4 linked regions of the Cricetulus griseus genome follow. The protein of the gene in region 1 interacts with the protein of each later gene in a biochemical or structural test. Links are inferred from orthologs where the notes say so. Each region holds a gene or a part of one and is shown on either strand. Other genes may lie near its edges.

The links.
Region 2: the proteins of Erbb2 (region 1) and Sh2d1b form a complex in vitro, tested with the Homo sapiens proteins (2 studies listed by BioGRID and IntAct, with this or other methods). The link is inferred for Cricetulus griseus from reciprocal best matches to the Homo sapiens genes ERBB2 and SH2D1B.
Region 3: the proteins of Erbb2 (region 1) and Supt6h form a complex in vitro, tested with the Homo sapiens proteins (2 studies listed by BioGRID and IntAct, with this or other methods). The link is inferred for Cricetulus griseus from reciprocal best matches to the Homo sapiens genes ERBB2 and SUPT6H.
Region 4: of the proteins of Erbb2 (region 1) and Ptpn3, one has a biochemical effect on the other in vitro, tested with the Homo sapiens proteins (2 studies listed by IntAct, with this or other methods). The link is inferred for Cricetulus griseus from reciprocal best matches to the Homo sapiens genes ERBB2 and PTPN3.

Annotation. Positions count from the first base shown.
Region 1 is NC_048600.1:111,549,752-111,554,805, forward strand, and holds part of Erbb2 (receptor tyrosine-protein kinase erbB-2), read left to right. Parts: intron 1-854; coding exon 855-928; intron 929-1,014; coding exon 1,015-1,105; intron 1,106-1,258; coding exon 1,259-1,458; intron 1,459-1,915; coding exon 1,916-2,048; intron 2,049-2,134; coding exon 2,135-2,225; intron 2,226-2,921; coding exon 2,922-3,082; intron 3,083-5,054. UniProt on the Homo sapiens protein: Protein tyrosine kinase that is part of several cell surface receptor complexes, but that apparently needs a coreceptor for ligand binding. Essential component of a neuregulin-receptor complex, although neuregulins do not interact with it alone.
Region 2 is NC_048598.1:22,544,619-22,549,672, forward strand, and holds the end of Sh2d1b (SH2 domain-containing protein 1B), read right to left. Parts: intron 4,233-5,054; coding exon 4,070-4,232; intron 2,169-4,069; coding exon 2,131-2,168; 3' UTR 909-2,130; downstream 1-908. UniProt on the Homo sapiens protein: Cytoplasmic adapter regulating receptors of the signaling lymphocytic activation molecule (SLAM) family such as CD84, SLAMF1, LY9 and CD244. In SLAM signaling seems to cooperate with SH2D1A/SAP.
Region 3 is NC_048600.1:91,616,834-91,621,887, forward strand, and holds part of Supt6h (transcription elongation factor SPT6), read right to left. Parts: intron 4,717-5,054; coding exon 4,443-4,716; intron 3,712-4,442; coding exon 3,610-3,711; intron 2,793-3,609; coding exon 2,676-2,792; intron 1,945-2,675; coding exon 1,855-1,944; intron 1,686-1,854; coding exon 1,543-1,685; intron 100-1,542; coding exon 1-99.
Region 4 is NC_048595.1:86,666,642-86,671,695, reverse strand, and holds part of Ptpn3 (tyrosine-protein phosphatase non-receptor type 3), read right to left. Parts: intron 2,903-5,054; exon of another isoform or gene 2,768-2,902; coding exon 2,607-2,767; intron 1-2,606.

The DNA of each region.
Region 1 (5,054 bases):
GTCTCTGTGTGTGTCCCTGTATGTTTGTGTCTGTGTGTGTCTGTATGTGTGTGTCTGTGGGTGTCTGTATGTGTCTGTGTGTATGTGTCTCTGTGTCTGTATATGTCTCTCTGTGTGTGTGAAGGGCAGCCTCAGGTGTGGCTCTTTAGGAACCATCTACCTTATTTTTCAAAATAGGGCCCCTCACTGACCTGGAGTTCACCAGAACAGGCTAGGTCAACTGGCCAGGGCACCCCAGGAATTGTCTTTAACTCCTCAGTGTTGGGGTTGCAGACTCACATGGGCTTTTTTATGTGAGTTTTGGGAATTGAACTCACAGATGTATGGCAGAATCTCACTGACCAGTTTCATTGCCTTCTCCTGGTTATGCCTCAGTGCCCTCATGTAAAATGCAGACCAGTAGCTCTACCCTCAAGGTGGTGCTAAAGTCTGAAAGAGTTAATATTTGGGACACTCTTAGAACAGGGCTTGACAGATACTGAGCACTCTCGGTGTTTGTATTTCAGAGCCTGCAGAGAGCAGGGTTTTACGTAGCAGCAATCTTATTCACTAATGACTACCTGGGTAATTTTCAAATTTCTCTCATACAAACAGTTCAGCTTGTTTATGCCTCTGGCAGCTGAAGCCAGTGTCTCTGCCGGCCAGACTTCTGCAAATGAGACTTCTAGATCAAAGGACACAAATGTTGCTCTGCTGGACTTGGACCCTAGGCTTTGACTCTTGGGATGGGAGCAGCCAGGCTTGATTGGGCTTTAAGTAAAGGACTTGGTGTGGATGGAGAGTGGTGTGTCAAGGCCTTCTGGGCCTCCTGCTCTCCATCTTCCTGCCCTACTCATTCCTCCTGATCCTTCTAGGAACCCTGCCTCCGGCGTTGCTCCCCTGAAGCCTGAGCAGCTCCAAGTGTTTGAAACCCTGGAGGAGATCACAGGTGGGCCCTGTCTTTCTGTGTCCTGCTCCATGGGGGCCAGGAGTTCTGGACCTTTCTGCATACCCGGCCCCCTCCTCTGCCCGCAGGTTATCTATACATTTCAGCATGGCCAGACAGCCTCCATGACCTTAGCGTCTTCCAGAACCTTCGAGTCATTCGGGGACGAATTCTCCATGAGTAAGTGTGTGGAGAGGGAGCCTAGGAGGCATGACACCACAGTAGCTTTTAACATGAGTTGACAGAGTGTTTTGAGGCAGGGGGAGGTACCTGTTGGCTGGAAATGGACCTAGAGTAGGTACCTCCTTGCAACTGGAAACTTTATTTCCATAGTGGCGCCTACTCATTGACGCTGCAAGGCCTGGGAATCCACTGGTTGGGGCTGCGTTCACTGCGGGAGCTGGGCAGCGGACTGGTACTCATTCACCGCAACACCCGTCTCTGCTTTGTACATACTGTACCTTGGGACCAGCTCTTCCGGAACCCGCACCAGGCTTTGCTCCACAGTGGGAACCAGCCAGAGGAGGAATGTGGTAAGACAGGAAGGCCAGCCCTGTGGGCCAGTACACAGAAGTGTCAATAGCCTCTGGCCTGTGCAAACCTTTTTAGCCCTGCTTTGTTGTTGTTTTGCGATAGGATCTCACTATGCAGCCCTGGCTGTCCTGGAGCTCACTCTGGATACCAGGCTGGCCTCAAACTCACAGGGCTCTGCCTGCTTCTGCCTCCCGAGTGCTGGGATTAAAGGCATGCCCACTGGAGCCATTCTTCACTTCCCAGTGATGGTTTGGCATTGTGACATGGCTTCCAGCTGTGTCCTTCCATGCTGCCCAAACATCCATCCCTTCCTTGTTGTTGAACCACAGAATTCTTCCTCACCCTGAATGTCCTGGCATCAACCCCTTTAGCCAGAGCCATGCTCATTCACAGCCTTTTTGCTTAGACCTGAGTGAGCCTCTCCTAATACCTCTCCTGCTTTTCTCCTCATTGCAGATCGCAAGGACTTGGCCTGCTACCCATTGTGTGCCCATGGGCACTGCTGGGGGCCAGGACCCACCCAGTGTGTCAACTGCAGTCACTTCCTTCGGGGCCAGGAGTGTGTGAAGGAGTGCCGAGTATCGAAGGGGTATGAGTAGCAGAGGAGTGGGGTGGCTTGAGGGGTACACACATGGGGACCTCCCAGACCCCTTACTATACCTGCCTCTCTTACAGGCTCCCTAGGGAGTATGTGGATGGCAAGCATTGTCTGCCATGCCACCCCGAGTGTCAGCCTCAAAACAACACAGAGACCTGCATTGGATCGGTGAGGTGCTGGTGGCCTCGAGGGGGGGGGAGATGGGACACGGACAGACAGACAGACAGACAGACAGACAGACACACACACACACACACACACACACACACACACACACGGGGACAGGACGACACCGGCAAGCAAAAGGGTACCGGGGGTCTGTTAAGTTGCTGCAGGGTAAAATGTTCCTAGAGAAGGCTCAGCTCAGACCTGGACAGCAGGAGGGGAGAAGGTCAGGAAGGCTGGAATGGGGGCACTGCTCTGCCCTCATTGTACTGTGGACCATGGGCTCTCCCTTCACGCTGGTGACACTGGAGCCCTTCAGACAGTCCCAAGAAGGCCTGTGTCCTTGGTTCTAGCTGTGCTAGGGACCACATCCAGGCCCTGTTTCCACCCTCAGTTTTCACTTCTATAAGGAGAATGTTGTAATAGTTCCTACCTGGTTGGGGTGTGGTGAGAATGAAATTAAATAGGATTTGGCACGGTGCCCAAGCACGGAAAAAACTTTGTACATAATAGTTGTCACTTGTCACACCTTAGAGAACGCACGTCCCTCTCTGGGTGCCTCCATTTCCTTGTAAAGAGCAGGGATGTTTACCCCAGTGACAGGGAGGCAGTGTTGCTGCAAGGTCAGGGACACAGGGCCTGGTCCTTCTGCTGTAGGGATGGTGATCCCAACCCCACAAACCCTTCCTCTCTATCCAGGAGGCTGACCAGTGTACCGCTTGCGCCCACTACAAGGACTCCTCCTCCTGTGTGGCTCGCTGCCCCAGTGGTGTGAAGCCAGACCTCTCCTACATGCCCATCTGGAAGTACCCGGATGCGGAGGGCATATGCCAGCCGTGTCCCATCAACTGCACCCACTCGTGAGTGGAAGGGTTTTTTTCTGTAGAAAGGAAGGCTTTCATGATAGTAGCCTCCCTGGAGCTCTTACTGTGAAAGGGGGATAAATCCACCTTCATTCATATTGAGATATAATTTTTTGTTTGTTTTTTTGTTTTGTTTTTCCAAGACTGGGTTTCTTTGTGTTAACAGTTCTCGCTGTCCTGGAACTTGCTTTGTAGGCCAGGCTGGCCTTGAACTCACAGAGATCTACCTGCCTCTGCCTCCTGAGTGCTGGGATTAAAGATGCATCACCACTGCTGGGCTGAGTGGTAATTTTTATATTTCTTTTCTAATTATAAAAATAACACAGGCGCTAGAGAGGTGGTTCAGTGGTTTAGAGAACTTGCTGTGCTTCCAGAGGGTTGGAACTTGGTTCCTAGCACACATATCAGGAGACTCAGGTTGCCTGTTAACTAGCGTCAGGAGATCTGGTCCTATTTTCCAGTCTCCGAGGGTACCCATTGCCCCTCTCCACCATACACACACTTCCCCACACACAAACCCACACACACACACATACCATACACACCACACAGGCTCATACATGTAAATAAAATTAAAAAATAACACATTGGGCTGGAGAGAGGCTCAATGGTTAAGAGCACTGGCTGCTCTTCCAGAGGTCCTGAGTTCAATTCCCAGCAACCACATGGTGGCTCACAACCATCCGTTATGAGATTTGGTGCCCTCTTCTGGAATATACATGGAAGCAGAATGTTGTATACGTAATAAATAAATAAATAAATAAATAAATAAATAAATAAAATCTTTTAAAAAAACACATTAGGGGCTGGAGAGGTGGTTCAGGGGTTAAGAGTGCTTGCTGCTTTTTCAGAGGACTGGAATTTGGTCCATCAGGAGACTCATGCTTTCTGTGAACTCTAGCCTCAGGAGCTCTAAGGCTTTTTTTCTGGCCTCTGCAGGTACACACATATACTCAGACACATACAGACATAAAAAATGAAAAACAACACATTAGAGGATGGCTCAGTGGGCAGAGAGGCACTTGCTCAAAAATCTGATGGTTTCAGTTAAATCACCAGGGAAAACAGTTCAAATTATCCACAGTAGAATTTCCAGCAGCGCCGGGCATTGGTGGCGCACACTTAATCCCAGCACTCAGGAGGCAGAGGCAGGAGGATCTCTGTGAGTTCGAGGCTGGCCTGGTCTACAGAGCGAGTGCCAGGATAGGCTCCAAACAATACAGAGAACCCTGTATCAAAAAAACCAAAAAAAAAAAAAAAAAAAAAAAAAAAAAAGAAAGAAAAAGAAAAAAAAAGAAAAAGAAAAGAATTGCTAGCAGCATTCTTTTATACCTCACATGGCAATTTAACATTTTAATGTGTTATTATAAAAATTATTCTAATTACATTTATTTGTGTATGTGTGTGCATGCTGAGCAGGCATGTGTGTGCATGACAGGTATTTGGAGGTCAGAGGACAACCTCCCGGAGTTGGTTCTCTCCTTTTACCATGTGGGTCCCAGGGATTGAACACAATCATCAGGGTTGATTGCAAATGCCCTTACCTGCTGAGCCATCTTGCCAAACAACATGTGAACCACCCTTCCTTCCTTCCTTCCTTCCTTCCTTCCTTCCTTCCTTCCTTCCTTCCTTCCCTCCCTCCTTCCTTCCCTCCCTCCTTCCTCCCTTCCTCCCTTCCCTCCTTCCTTCCTTCCTTCTTCTTTAAGACTTTGTTATTTTATGTGTATGGGGTATGTTTTAGTTAGGGTTTCTATTGCTGTGATAAACCCCATGATCTAAAGTAACTTAGGCAGAAAAAGGTTTATTTAACTCCCACTTCCACATCACAGTCCATCAGCCATGGAAGTCAGGGCAGGAACTCCAGACAGAAATCTGGAGGCAGGAATTGACAGAGGACATGGAGGCTTGCTCAGCCTGTCTGAACCACCAGCCCAGGAGTGGCACTGCCCACAGTGAGCTGTGCCTACCC
Region 2 (5,054 bases), on another chromosome or scaffold:
AAAATAAAAGTCACAGAACGTGTCCACTCTGCACTAACTGGGATGCTTCTTTACTATTTTTGAGAAGGGATCTTACTGTGTGTCAGGTCCCAAAGAAACCAGGGGGAATGTTTCCTTCAGTAGTTGTGGTGCCTCCCAACACTTCCGGGGCTCCTTCTCTCCCAGCTTCTCTTTCCTGTGTAAACTCAACCGTGTGGCTACGGCTCTCTCGGTTCCTGGCTCCTCCCTAGTCTCTTAGTTCTCATGTTCTCTGTTTCTCTCTATTCTCTTCCCCTTTTGCTCCTTACTCCTCCATGGTCCATTCAGTCTGCTGGCCCAGTTCAGCCTGGACCCTTCCAGATGACTCTGGCTGTTCTCTCCCTCATATCTACAATAAAACTTTCTCCTTAACCATTACCTTGGAGCAACCACGTCATCGTTTTCATTCACTGTGCAGCCCAGGCTGACCTCAAATTCTCAATCCCCCAAGTGGTTAGGGTTTCAGATGTATATTGTCACACTTGGCTTCTAACCAGGCCTTAATTAGCCTCCTTCATCTCTGCCTCCCTCTCTCCCTCCCTCCCTTTTTCTTTTCTATATGCTGGTGATTGAACCAAGGCCTTGTACATGCTAAGCAAGTGCTTTACCATTGAGATACATGTCCAGCTTTAGTTTAACCTTTTGAACTAGCAGAAAAACTCAAGAGGCCTTAAAGTCAGCTCATCCAACCCTTCAGAAAAATGCTTGCAGTCCATAACTCCTATGTGCAGGGAGGGCATGCTCTGATGGCATTTAGAACACAGGCAGGAATGGAACCACCCATGCGAGAACATCTTTAAAACAGCCACACATTGGTACACATGCGCAATGGAATTAGAACAATGAACTTCCAGCATTCTCACACAAGAAAACATGGACAGACCCGAAGATCATTTTGTTGCGTGAAGTTTATTAGATTCAGAAGGACAAACCACATTTTTCTCATATGTAAGATCCAGATTTAAATTTATATGTATAAATACATATGTATGGAGGACATGAAAATTCAGAAACCCGGACTATGAGACAGGAGCAAGAGGTCTAAAGTGGAAGGAAGGCAATGAAATATAGGCAGAAGGCGGTCTCTTTGGGGATAGGAGTGTCACGGCAAGGTGCAAAGGATGGGGCAGTACAGGGGAAGGTCAAGAAAGAAGAGCATATTGGTCACAGAGATCGCATGCACCTGTAACCCCAGCACATAGGAGGCTGAGGCATAAAGTTAGAGTTTGAGGTTAACTTGGGCTAGACTCAGATTCTGTCTCAAAAAAAAAAAAAGAAACAAAAACAAAAAAAAAGACCCCCAAAGTGTAATGATTTATAGATATAAAAAGGTCAGAATAAAACCCATTTCTCTGTATGCTAATAAAAAATAATAATAAAATAAATATTATTATCACATTTATCAAAAGGCAGAGCTGACAAAGTGATTGCTGTATATACAGACTTGGGGAAAATCAGGAAAAACCGAGGCCAGAGGAATGCCTGGCAGGAAGTCAACCTTTGAAGAGATGGGGCTAGGTCAAACGAGAGGGAAAGGGAACATTGGTGGGTCACAGCCCTCATCAGGACCAAGACCTCCACAGCTGGAGGACATGTTTGCTTCTTCAGCATCCTTAGACCTTGATTCCTCTGCTCAGACGCCAGCTCCACCTGGGACAACCAGGCTCAACAGAGGGTCCAGGTTAGTGTGTGTGAACCACTCAACCACACCAGAGAGGGCGGTTTGCCAAAAGTCACAGAACACAGGTTGGGGACTCTGAAGTTACTACAGAGTATTGTTTCCTTTCTATGAAGCTGCCCTTCCCTTTGTCCTGTTAGATGTTGTCAGCCAGGATGCAATGGCAATGCCTGGATTCCGGCTGTCCAATTCCAAGATAGGAGAGTAACAGGTGACGGTGGCTTTGGAGCTTCTTGTGAGTGTGCCAGGAGTCAGACATGTGGGAAGGGACTTCTCCAAGGCTTCAGTTGAGAAGATCCTGCTACCCAGGTCAGGAGGGTCTCAGAGGCCCTCTAGAAGTTGGCATTTTAGATAGACACTTGCAGAGGTGGTGGCCGCTGAGAGCTCTGCCATCTCAGCCCTCCCTTAGCTTGTTTTGTCCTATGTCCTTGTCTTCAAGGCAAGATATCCACATAGTCCTCGTTAGTGTTCTCTGGGGAAAAGCAAAGGACAGCCATGAGATGCCACACCCAGAAGTCCCACCAGCCATCCCAACTCGAGGAAAAGGACACCAGGCACAAAGCAGTGCTGATGCCACATCAAAGAGACATCTTCAAAGGCTGCAGTGGCACTAGGGACTTGCTTGGACAAATAGGGTTTGTTTGTTTTTTGTTTGTTTTTGCTTTTTGATAAGTGGATCCTTAGTTTCTAGTACTCAGTGTCTACCTTCACCAGTGAAAATCCCATGCCTTCGTCAGAGTAGCTCTGCATGGAGCTGGTTCTGAGGAGGCAAGAGGAAGGGAAGGCATTTCCCCTTTGGTAGCTAAGTACGTGGAGCACACTCTACCAAGTCTGACTATGCTTGGAAAATTGGTGTGGCCAGACCCATGTCCAGTTCTTGGGAAAGACCTCTCCCAAGCCCATTCTCTTCCAGGGATTTAGTAGCCTTTCATTATACCTCAGACAAAAGTATTACCATCCCAGCCACTCCCAGCAACTCATCTTGATTTGCACAAGTGTCTGGCTTTGACACCTTTATGCTTTCTTCCCCTTAATACCTTTGGGTGTGTGTGTGTGCATGCATGTATATAGGTATGTATGCAGGTGTATCTACACAAGGGTGCCTGTGTGTGGTCAGAGGTTAGCCTGACATGTTGTTCTTCAGGCTCCATCTACTCTATTTTTTGAAACAAGGTCTTCCTCTGGCTTGGAGCTCACCAGGTGTGATGGTCAGGAAGCCCCATGGATCTACCTGTGTCTGTTTCTTCAGCACTGAGATTACAAGCATGTGCCACGTTGTACAGATTTTCAAAGCCATCATTTCTAGGGATCCAACTTAGGGCCTCACACAAGCAAGGCAAGCACTTTACCAACCGGGCTATTTCTCCAGCCCTTTCAGACTTCCTAATTCTGTAAGTTTTGATGGAAAAGAGCAGTGCGGCTATATCTGTGGCTGGACTTAAACGAAATTATCAGATTGTATTGTCCACACAATCCCCTGAATGATGATGAATGGCTGGAAGTAATGTTAGGGGGGCAAGGTTTTATTTTAGTCATTAAAATCTCACGCTTTATCTTTTTAGAGAAATGAGAAGCTTACCACGGCAGCCGAAAAAAGGGACTTTGCTCAGGCAGAATAGCATGGATGCTGGCAGGCTCCCTGAGAGCTCGTGCCCTCTCATCTTTCTCCCTAGTTAGTAGATCTGCTGTCATCACCATTGCCACCCACAGACAACTGCAATCCCTCTCACACAAAATGAAACCACACATTTCATCATGAGCGATTGGGTGGGACCAGAAACGTCTCTGCATGTCTGTGTTTAATTCAAAATTTGCCGCAATGGGCAGATGATGAAGATGAGGGTAAGCTCGAAATATGATCTGAGAGTGCTGTGAACAGACTTTCCTCACACGTGCTGACCCCCACCCCCACCCCACCCCGCCGTGTCTCGGTGGCTTCATACCTTTAGGGATATATATATATATGAAATAATTTGTCCCTGATCATTTTATAAATGAATGCTTAGCAAAGATTGAACAAAATGTAATAGGATAAGCCTTGGTGGGTGATTTGACATGAGTCTTTTCAGTGAAAACCTGCCCACATGTGCATTTATTACCATGGTGGACTGCGCATGCCCACAGAATGAAACCCAAGTCAGCTTTTTGGTCAGGACCTTTCCTTGCCTTCCTGGTTGTCCTAGCACAGACAACTCTATGTCTTGGCCACTTGCAGGGGCTAGGAGATATTGTTTCTCAGTACAGTAGAAATTGCACTTAGCAAGATGAAGCTCTTTAATGTCCTAGACCAAGTCAGCAATTTCCATCAACTCTACAGAGTAGAGCTGGACGCAGGCTTCGGGGTCCCTCCTGACCCTTTGTCAGGGCTCTTACCATAAACATTCATCTCTAACTTCATCCTTCTCCCTCTTGGGCAGAAGCCGCTTCTCATCATTGGGTTTGAAAGGTGAATCACCAGACCTTGACCTGGCTTTTCATACTTGGAGACTAATTCTTCTAGGTTCGGAAAGATCTGTTTTGGAGCACCTTCCACAGTCTGCAAAGACATAAGAAAGGTCACTGCGCAGCTGTGGTTAAAATGTGACACTTCTTGCAACAGTGGTTTTGAGGGCTGCCCGAGAGACAAGCGAAAAGTAAGACGCTAGCAGCTCAGGCCTAGGGCTCTTACCAACAGCATTTCATAGAGGTTCCTCATTCTGAAGAGGAACCTTGTGCCCAAACAACTCTGTATAAAGGGGGCTTTTACTTAAAAGTTCCCCAGTCACTGTGCTGAGTGAGCCCCATCCTTGGCAATTTGTCTGGACTGGCTCTTATTGTAGCTTCACTGTAGTTAGTTCCCTGTCAGACTGTGTCATGCTGCTGGCCTTTGGTCAATTGGGGACTCCTGAGAGAAAATGCAAAATAATTGACATATAAGGTGCCTACTCGGACTCTCCACAGGGTGCAGATAGAAGAAACAAGCCCCAGTTTGTACTGAGAGTAGGATGACAACATGACTTAGTGAAATCACAGACTTGTTTTCCGGTTAGCAACTAGAAAGAAAAAAAAAATCCTCTTTTCTGATAGGTGCTTACAGAAGGAATTCAAAAACACAAAGCGTTTTCTTCCTCTGCTCCTTTGTATGTGGTTTTCTTGGTCATCGCTGTGGTGATCCTATGGCCCTAGCATCGCCAACAGGTATGGTTAGGAATGAGGTTTTCTGAAGTGCATGCTTAACCTCCATACACTTCACTGTGCATTCCTTTAATGGGGTCACTTCAGCTCCTAGTGTCACCTGCTGCAGGGCTGTGAGTGTAAAGCCTTCCCTTGGCCAAATGCTTCTCTGTATCTGAGGTATGTGTTGTATGGAGGGCTCCCC
Region 3 (5,054 bases), about 20 Mb from region 1:
TTGGCAGCATTCTGCATCTTGGGGATGTCACGACCATAGTAAAGTAAGAAATGGTTGTAAACATCTTTCAGTTCATCCATTGACTGTACATCTTTGAGCCTGCAGGGGAAAGATGCAAGATTCTATTACTGGGGACAAGCTTTGCTGTAATACTTCTAATTCCCAAGAAGCAAGATCAAGTAAGATGAGCAAAGCCACACAGCAGTCCCAGACTACACAGCCAGGATATTTTAAAGAAATATAAGTTGTTGGGAGTGGCAGTGCACGGTTGTAATAGTTAGAGACTCAAGCAAGAGGCCTGCCAAAAGCCCAACATCAGCCTGGGACATTCAACAATAGCCTATTTCAAAAACAAACAAGTAAGCTGGGAGTGGTGTCCTAGAACTTGAGAGGTGGAAATATTAGGACTTTGAGGCCAGACTGTACCGTATGAAATCTTGTAAAAATATATACACACATACACAAAACATGTCAAATTGAAATGGTTAGTGGTAATTATTAGAAATGAAAGTACAAAGGCCAGGTGTGGCACCACACATCTATAATCTCAGCACTAGAAACAGACTAGGTTACAAGTCTCAGGTCAGTATGGGCTGCACAGTTACCTCAAAAAAACAAAACAAAACAAAAAAAAAAGCAGTATAAGGAAGAGGCAGACCAGGCAACACATTTAGTGAAGTTCAGTCTTTGAAACTACTACTCAGCTTGTAAATACTATCCACCAAAACCACCTGTTGCCCTCCAATACCACATTATTCAGGCTACCAAATTAAATATAAACTGTCTCTTATGTAGCATTACCAACATGGAATAAATGCATATTATTACCAAATGTGAATACTTGATACAAAGGCTTGGTAAATAAGTCAGTTTGTTTTCTATATAGTTATATGGAAAACTAAAATGAATCAAATCTGTCAGACTATTCCCCTGCTCCCCATGGAGTTTTATATAGATGACTTTCAACTCATGATCTTCCAAGCTCTACCTTCCAACACCGTTCAGCCAGAAAATTCACTTTTAGTTGGGCATGGTGGCATAGACCTTCAGTCCCACTTGGGAGGCAGAGGCAGGTATATATAGTGGGAATTACCAATACGGAGTCAGGTAGAAATATAAGGGTATTTAATAGGGAAAAGCCTTACTTACAGAGCGACCTAGCCAGCCAGCGTGGCAGCAGTCTGTATGCAAGCCCAAAAGAGAAACCGAAAGAGCAAACACAGTCACACTACATCACTCTGACCACTCCCTCTCAAGCGTGGTCAGGCACACCTGTAGCCAGCCCCTAAGTAGGCGTGGTTACAGCTTCCCCTTCAGGTGTATCTGTATGAGTTCGATGCCAACTTGGTATACACAGTGAATTCTAGGACAGACAGAGCTACACAGAGACCCTGGGGGGGGGGAATCATTTTTGATGTATTAACAATTTGGGTTCTAAGGGTTGGGGCCCCATGCTGCAAATTCTGCAAAGTAACAGTGTTCCTGAGGACCTGCCTTCAGTCTGGCCGCTCCCTGTAACAGAATAAAACCTGCATGTCCTACCTCTCCATATCAGTAGTATCCAAAGCCCGGATGCCATCAGCAAGAGGTTTGTCGGGGTCAGCAGAGATTTGCTCATACTGATAAGCCTGCATCTTCTCAAACAGCCTTGTTAGGTTCTCTTTTCGGATTCTCAGCTGAGTCCACTAGGGCAGAGAAAGGCAGGAGTGAGGTCTGGTGTTAAGCCCTGGAGACCCAAGTCTTCTGTTCCCTTTAGCAGAAGCCCCCATGGGGTAAGCTGGCAGTTCTGGAAGTCAGAGCTGTAGCATCCTGATACTGGTTCTTAGCTCCTTGTGGGCCTTCTGTCCATGTTACCTTTTCATCCCACTGCCACACTCTCCACAGGTCATTGATGTGCAATTCAGGTTCCACATATTCCTTTCGGTAGAAGGCAATAAAAGGCACCTACAGTAGCAAGAATACTGCTGTCAAGCAGAAGAAAGAGCTGCAAATATCTTCTCTGCTAAAGGGTAACGATTTCCTAGTCTAATAGCTCCACAAAATCATAAGTACAAGAATAGCCTCTCCAAATGGCTATCCAGGAAAGTGTTTTCTCCAGTGGAGTAGGTAACATTGAAGACAGGAAATCTTGTCCCCATGGTCACTAGTGCCCCTTGCTAGTCATAACACTGTTTGTTTGTGTGGTTTTTTGTTTTTGTTTTTTGTTTTTAGAGACAGGGTTCCTCTGTGGCTTTGGAGGCTGTCCTGGTACTTGCTCTGTAGACCAGGATGGCCTTGAACTCAGAGATCTGCCTGCCTCTGCCTCCGGAGTGCTGGGATTAAAGGTGTGCGCCACCAGTGCCTGGCTTAGTCATAACACTCTTGAGTTAAGAGACTCCTAAGGATAAGGAAGGGGGTTTACCACTTGATTGTAGCTACCTCTTGCCTCATCCTGTAATTTTTTTAAAAAAATATTTATTTATTTATTATGTCTGCATGTTTTCCTGCAGGCCAGAAGAGGGCATTGGGTCTCATTAAAGATCATTGTGAGCCATCATGTAGTTTCTGGGAATTAAACTCAGGACCTCTCTCTGGAAGGGCAGTTAATGCTCTTAACCTCTGAGCCATCTTTCCAGCCCATCCCCTAAATTCTAATGAATTTCTAACCACTGGGTTACTTGAGCTCAAGGAGCTACCTCAAAATGCTGATTCCGCATGAAGCCCAGGGCCTCTTTGATCTTCTGAATTGTGCTGGGTCCTTTGCGACTGAAGCTACTGGTTGGCTGTCCACGGTCTAGGTAATCACAGCTTTCCTATATTAAGAGGCAAAAACAAAACAAAACCAGCAAGTCATGCTACCCTCTCTCTCACCACACAAGAGCTTCATAACGTGATAGCCTTTTCTGAGGAAATCTAAAAAAAAATTTTTTTTTCCATCTCTTTCTTTCTTTTGGTCTTTCTTTCTTTTAAATTTATTATGTATACAGTCTTGTGCCTGCATGCCAGCAGAGGGCACCAGATCTCATTCAAGGTGGTTGTGAGCCACCATGTGGTTGCTGGGAATTGAACTCAGGACCTCTGGAAGAACAGTCAGTGCTCTTAACCACTGAGCCATCTCTCTAGCCCCTCTTTTGGTCTTTCAAGATAGGGTTTTACTGTGTAGCCTTGGCTGTCCTGGAACTTGAGCTTTGTAGACCAGGCTGGTCTCTAACTCAGATATCCGCCTGCCTCTGCCTCCTGAGTGGTGGGATTAAAGGTTTGGGCCACCATGCCAGGCTTAAAATTTTTCTTGTATATATGTATACACATACACTTTCCCAGGCATACAGAAGCATTATACAGGGAAGGAATAGGTTCTCATTTTCATCAACTGGCCTCTGGTTCATGTCAGAACGTTTAACATTTATTTTATGAGTATGAATGCTTTGCCTGCATGTATATATATGTACCATGTAAGTGCCTGGTGCCCTCAGAGGTCAGAAGAGGGAATAGGACCCATAGAACTCCATGTAAAGGCAGTTGTAAGCTACTATGTGGGTGCTGGGAACCAAATCCAGGTTCTTTGTAAGGGCAAGTGCTTCTATCCACCCAGCCAGCTTTCTAGCCTCTGAAGTAAAGACTTGTGAGTACCTGTAGGGAAATGGTTGGTGTGGCAAAGGCATTTCTGTAGATCCAGTCAGCTTCTTCTTCTAGCTCATCATCTTCAGCTGCCTTGACAGGGATGGAGCGGAGCTGGAGTGGATAAGAGGGTGAGACATTTTTACTCTGTATCCTGCTTAGGGAAAAACCTATACGACTTCTAACAGAAGCATGTGATCCTTAGGCACATTCTAAGGTCACCTGACATGAAATGAGTATTTTCCAGATCTGTTAAGAATACCATTTCATGCTGGGCAGTGGTGATGCACACCTTTAATCCCAGCACTCAGGAGGGAGAGGCAGGCGGATCTCTGTGAGTTCGAGGCCAGCCTAGTCAATAGAGTTACAGGACAGTCAAGGCTACACAGAAAAACCCTGTCTCTGTGCCCCGCCCCCCCAGAAAAGGGCAAGAGAATCAGAAATTTAATTTAAGGTCATCCTTGGCTACTAAGTTTGAGTTATTATGGCCTACATGAGAGCCCGCCTCAAAACAAACAAAACAATAAAAATAACAAAACAAACAAGCAAAAAAAAAAAAAAAGAGAAAGAAAAGAAAAAGAAAAAAAGAATGCCATTTCAATGTCAGACCTGTAATCCTAGCTACTCAGGAGGCTGAGGTTTAAGACCTGCTTGGGCTAGAGTCAGTTGAAGGCCAGCCTAAGTTAGTGAGACTCTGTTTCAAAATAAAACGAGAAAAAAAAAAAAAAAAAGAGGATCAAGTTTAATTCCCAGTACTGCCAGAATAAATAGGTAACAGACTCCATGGACCTGAGTTGGATGGGCTTCAGAGTCTATGACGAATACTACTCATTGTGGTTTCTTACCTGGAACCTCTCAGGCAAGTCAGTGGCTCGGATTTCATTGTCCTGGTCTGTGAGGTGGCTGCTCTCCAGTTCACTGGGCTCATACATCTCAAAGATGCTCCTACGGCTTACACGCTTCTTGGTGGTTTTCTTGGGGCGCACTCGGATTTCACCTTCAGCCTCTTCATCCTCATACTCATAGTCTTCCTCCAGTTCTTCATCATATTCATTGTATTTCTCAAATTCATCATAGTCAAAGTCCACACCAAAGATCTCCTGAGCTTCTTGCAGGGCTCTATGTGAAAGAATAAGAGGCAGTGGGCTCAGGATTGAGAGGGAGGAGAAATGCAGCCCCTGCCCAGATCTTTTGCAGGCCTCAGAGGACTAAAGGAGCAAAGAGAAAAGCCAGTTGGAAAATCACATTCAGTGTGGAATAAATAGGTGCCTGGAAGTTTCAAGGCAAACTATTATCAGAGGATAATAGTCTAACTTTGGCACCTGCCAGAGATAGAAGCCACACACCATAGGTAGATGGGTCCTTATTCTGAATGGCAAACCATCTTTTGCCAAGATACTATAGCATTCCCTTAGCACAAAAGCTTTCAAACTATTATGCTTTTATACAGGTTGGAA
Region 4 (5,054 bases), on another chromosome or scaffold:
GGGCCTAATACCATTTCTATCTGCTTCTCTGGGATCAATTGAAACATCAAAACCTCAAGTGAGCGCAGGAGAGGTGCCTGATGCGAAAGTCTGGCAACGTGAGTTCAATCTCCAAAACCCACACATAAGAAAATAAATGAACCAGGTGGTGGTGGCACAGGCCTTTAATCCCAGCACTTGGGAGGCAGAGGCAGGTGGATCTCTGAGTTCCAGGTCAGCCTGATCTACAGAGCAAGTTCCAGAACAGCCAGAGCCACAGAGAGAAATCCTGTCTTAAAAAAGCAAAACAAAACAAAAAAGAAAATAAGTGATTTCACATGGCTGTCCTGTGACCTCCACATGCACACTGTGGCACAAGCCCACTTCCATATCATGCGCTAATAATAACAAATTAGTGTCCCCCACCACACACACACACACACAAACTCTCAGCGACTTTGTTAAAACACCAATGTCTGGCCAGGCAATTGTAGCACACGCCTTTAATCCCAGCACTTGGGAGGCAGAGGCAGGTGGACCTCTGTGAGTTCATGGCCAGCCTGGTCTACACAGTGAGTTCCAGGACAGACAGGTTCCAAAGCTACACAGAGAAACCTTGTTTCAAAAAAACAAAAACAAAATCAAACCAAACCAAAAGGAAACAAAATGCACCAATGTCTGGTAGTTGTGGGCTAGGTTCACGGCTCCTCATGTGATTTCTATACAAGGGGCTACAGGCTCACCCTTTAAGAAATATTTTCAAAGGTGGCTCCGTGGCGCAAAGGATAGGGCTCTGGACTTCTAGCGACGAAAAAGAAATACTCTTAAAAACCTTCTAGGAGCTGATGAAATCATTGCAAGGAGAACCTTATGGGGGCTTCCTAGACGTCAAAAGCACACCAAAGTTGAGCCAAGAGCACAGAGAAGGCTTTAGTTAATCAAAGAGCTTGGCTTCAAGTTCCCAAGGAGAGTCCACAGTGCCTCCTTGTGGATTTCCTGATCAACTAGAATTACCAGTTGCCAGGGAACATACACTCACAATTTTAAAATCTTATCCTGTCTTGCTTGCTCTCATGATACAGCCCCCGAAATATACTAAAATTAGACAGCAAGCTCCTTATGGCTAGACGCCTCCTTCTCCATCCCTCACCATGCTCCCAGAGTACCTCAGACATACTAGCTGAATCAACAAATAGTCCACCAATGCCCTCCTAGTTCACAGCATCCTCAGCACCAAAAGGAAGAAACTCATGGAATCTGAGCCTAGATTTGCATCCTTGCTTTAATTACTCTAGAGTGTTCATGTCACAATTTCTCACCCAAATATCACCACCACAAGATGCAAACTTTTATGTTACTTGTCTAGACAACCGGCTAATTAAAAAAACTGAGAATCTTCTAGTGGTGGGGGGGTGGAAGGGAAGAGTCAACTACCTTTGCTTTTTCTCCCATGGAGTTCTTTCTACTGCTGTTCAACTCACACTGCTCTCAAATAATTTACATTCTGGGCCCTAGGCTACTGTAGGGTAAGTCTTTTGCTTAAGGCTTTCTGCTTGGCATTCCCTTTTGTCTGCCAGCTGTGCTACACTTTCTTCCTGAGTCACTCTGCAGTCAATATATTTGACAAATTGCCCACCTTTCCTAGTGTTTTTCCTTCCAGGGTTTTTCTAGTAAATTATGTGCTGTTGATCTGTTTCTGAATCTCACTGGCGCCTCTTATCCCTACTTTGTGAGCTGAGGCCATGTTCAGCATTGTTAACTGTGTAAAAATGTTAAGTAGATTCTTTTGCCTTCTTTCTTCTCTTCTCCCTACCCCAACCGCCTTTCTGAGACAGGGTCTTACTATGTGGTCCAGGCTAGGCTCAAACTTGAGATCATCCTGCCTCAGCCTCCAGCACGCTGAGGTACTATGCATGAGGCACCTGTTCATTTCGTAAACAACTGCTCTCTTCTACCTTCAAACACACATGGCAGATGAACACATTCTGTTTTCATTCGATTACTAGTGGATAAAACTGGTTTGGAAGCAGTTGTGCTTTTGGGGTTGTGTGAAAGGCCTCTGCGGGCACTGCTGCAGATGAGGCATGACCCTGCGTACTCCAGAGCCATCCTTCCTGAGAAGACAGCACAGACTCTATGTTTCTGTGGTCTGGTGGCCTTGGAAGATGAGACACTGTGCCCTCGTGGTGTGATACCAACTCTCTAAACCCCAAGTGTAGTTGGGGGTAGAGTGCTAACCTGCCACCATCATGTGGATGGCACCATTTTCTGTGCTGTGGAGTTTTAAGCTCCTGCTGGCAGCTCCATAGGTTCAGAGCCCCCTCATCCTCAGTTACTGACAGGCCAGCCCTGCCTACAGATTGCTGCTAGAAGTCAGTGGGAGGGCTGAACAGCTGGAAGAGGTCCTGGGCCTTCACCTGATGCTTCATCACTCTGAGCCTGAGAAGAGGCCCCCATCAGACCTGGGTCGTATGTCCTCACTGAGACTCTCTAGTCTGAGGCCTGTGAACCAGAGTCATCTTGGCCAAGGAGACAGGACCATGCTCCAGCTTGCTACTAAGCTGCAGCAGAGGCACATGGTGAGTGGCAGTAACTGGGTGGAGATTCAGGCCCTGGGATCCCCTTACCTCGAACTGGATCAGCACTGTACCACTTTCTAGACCTTTCTTTAGCAGTTCCATGGATCCCTCCAGACTGTCACCACCCTCAGGACAGACAGGAAACATGGCTTCTGGGAAAAGCTGACTCAACTCATCTTCCGATCTGATCTCCGCCAGTGAGCGCACAGCTGGAACAGACATAACAGACAGGACAATGGGCTGGTCACTCTGCTTATCGGCCCAGAACACCAGGGATGGTGGTCCACTGGCCTCATCAAATGATCAAGTGCGTGGGCATCATTTGTACCCAATACCATTTCTAGGTGAGTGACCCTGACAAGCTGTGGGCCATACTCTAGGTGTGAAAATGAACATTGTTGAAGAAAGAGGTCATGGGCTGTGAACACAGTTTAGTGGTAGAGAGGTCACCTAGCATGCGTGAGGCTCTAAGTTCAGTTCCCAGAGAAGGGAAGGCAAGGGAAGGGAGGTGTGGGGAGGGGAGGGAAGGGAAGAGAAAGGAAAGGAAAGGAAAGGAAAGGAAAGGAAAGGGAAGGGAAGGGAAGGAAAGGAAAGGAAAGGAAAGGAAAGGAAAGGAAAGGAAAAGAAAAAGGGGAGGAAGGAAGGAAGGTAGGAAGGAAGGAAGGACTCTTTGGTTCCCACCCAACATCCTTAACATGGGCACTCTTCTAGACACATGTGGAGGCCCCAAGCTCTCCCTGTGACATTACTATTTCCTATAGTCTGGTTTCTTTTTACAAAAATTTTAAATTACATTTCTGTTTATCATTTTGTGTGCATGTGTGTGAGTACATGTGTATGAGCATGTGTGTATACGTATGAGAACATGTGTGTGGGGGGATGAATGTGTATGAATGCATGCATGTGTGTGAATGTGTGTGTGTGAGTGTTTGAGTGCATGTGTGTATGTGTGTGAGTGCACGTGTGTGGGGATGCATGTGAGTACATGTGTGCATGTGTGTGTATTTGAGTGCATGTGTAAGTGCATGTGTGTATGTGTGTGAGTGTTTGAGTGCATGTGTGTATGTGTGTGAGTGCACGTGTGTGTGGATGCATGTGTGTGAATATGTGTGAGAGTGTATGTGTAAATGCATGTGTGTATGTGTGTGTGTGTTTGAGTGCATGTGTGTATGTGTGTGAGTGCACGTGTGTGGGGATGCATGTGTGTGAGTGTCTGTGTGCATGTGTGTGAGAGCATGTGTGGACATCAGGGATAACTCTTAGAGTCAGTTCTCTCCTACCATGTGAGTGGGTTTTAGGCCTCGGACCTAGGTCAGCAGGCTTGGCAGTGGGTGCCTCTACCCACTGAGCTGTATCTCACTGTCCCATGGTGTTGTTCCTTTCCCTTAAGAGCCTACTTTCAATTTGAGATCAATTTTGCCAAGTGATAAGTACTAGTGCCAAGATCTCTGCATGTCAGCTCCACCTTTTCAAGTTCAATTTCTCCCTTCATGCCAGACTCTATGGAGAAAAATACAGGCCCAAGCTCCCATCCTCTGTGTGTGTGTGTGTGTGTGTGTGTGGTGTTTGGGGAGGCTAAGGCTGACATTACATGTCTTCCTCTATCACTCTCCACCTTAGACAGGGCCTGTCACTTGGCCCTAGAACTCAATGACTGGGTAGTCAAGCTAGCTGCATATTCTGGGGGGTCCCTCCTGTGCCTCCCATTTGCTGGGATAATGTACCTCATTTTTTATACGGGTGCTAGAGATTTGAATTCCAGTTCTCACTCTGTCTGCTGAGCCATGTCTCCTCCTCACTCTGCCTTATGGAATATTTTACCTCAGACGCAATCGTCAACTCCTTACTTCCTCTTCCTAAATTTGAAACTTTAGGATCATTTCTGAATTTTCCCTTTAACTCAGAAAGGGAAATTACGCCCTCACTGAGCTTTCAATGGCTCCTGACTTTCAAGACAAGAGGAAAGGAGAAAGTAACTAAACAACTTTGAATTTTCTCATATAGTTGAACTGAGCCTTCAGAATTCTGAGTCAGCTTTGAGCTTTCCATTCCAGAGAGTTTGTTCAAGGTCACCCAGCCTGTCAGGGCAGGTCATGGGAAAGCCGTCCATATCTTCACCTGACTTTAAAGGCCACATTCACTGACCACAGCAAAGCAATTTTTCTTATGATATGTGGTTTCTGTCATAATTGCAACCCTCTGTGTTACATTCGCTGACTTCCTTTCCTTTAAATCAATTCAAATTTCTCATTTACAGATTTATGCTACAAATAAGATTACTATAGGTCTTGAAAATAGGTGGTCTCCAACAGTGCTAGGTTTTCCTTACCACCAGCAGGCACCAGTCCCTTGTGGCCATCAGAGGTGGCTTTTCCTATGGGTCTGGACACCCAGCATGTCACAAATGGTGGACTGGCCCCTTTGGCCTCTTATCAATGTGTGGTATCAGAAACACAGAACAATCAATCAGAACCACATGGAAGTGGGGCAAGTGCT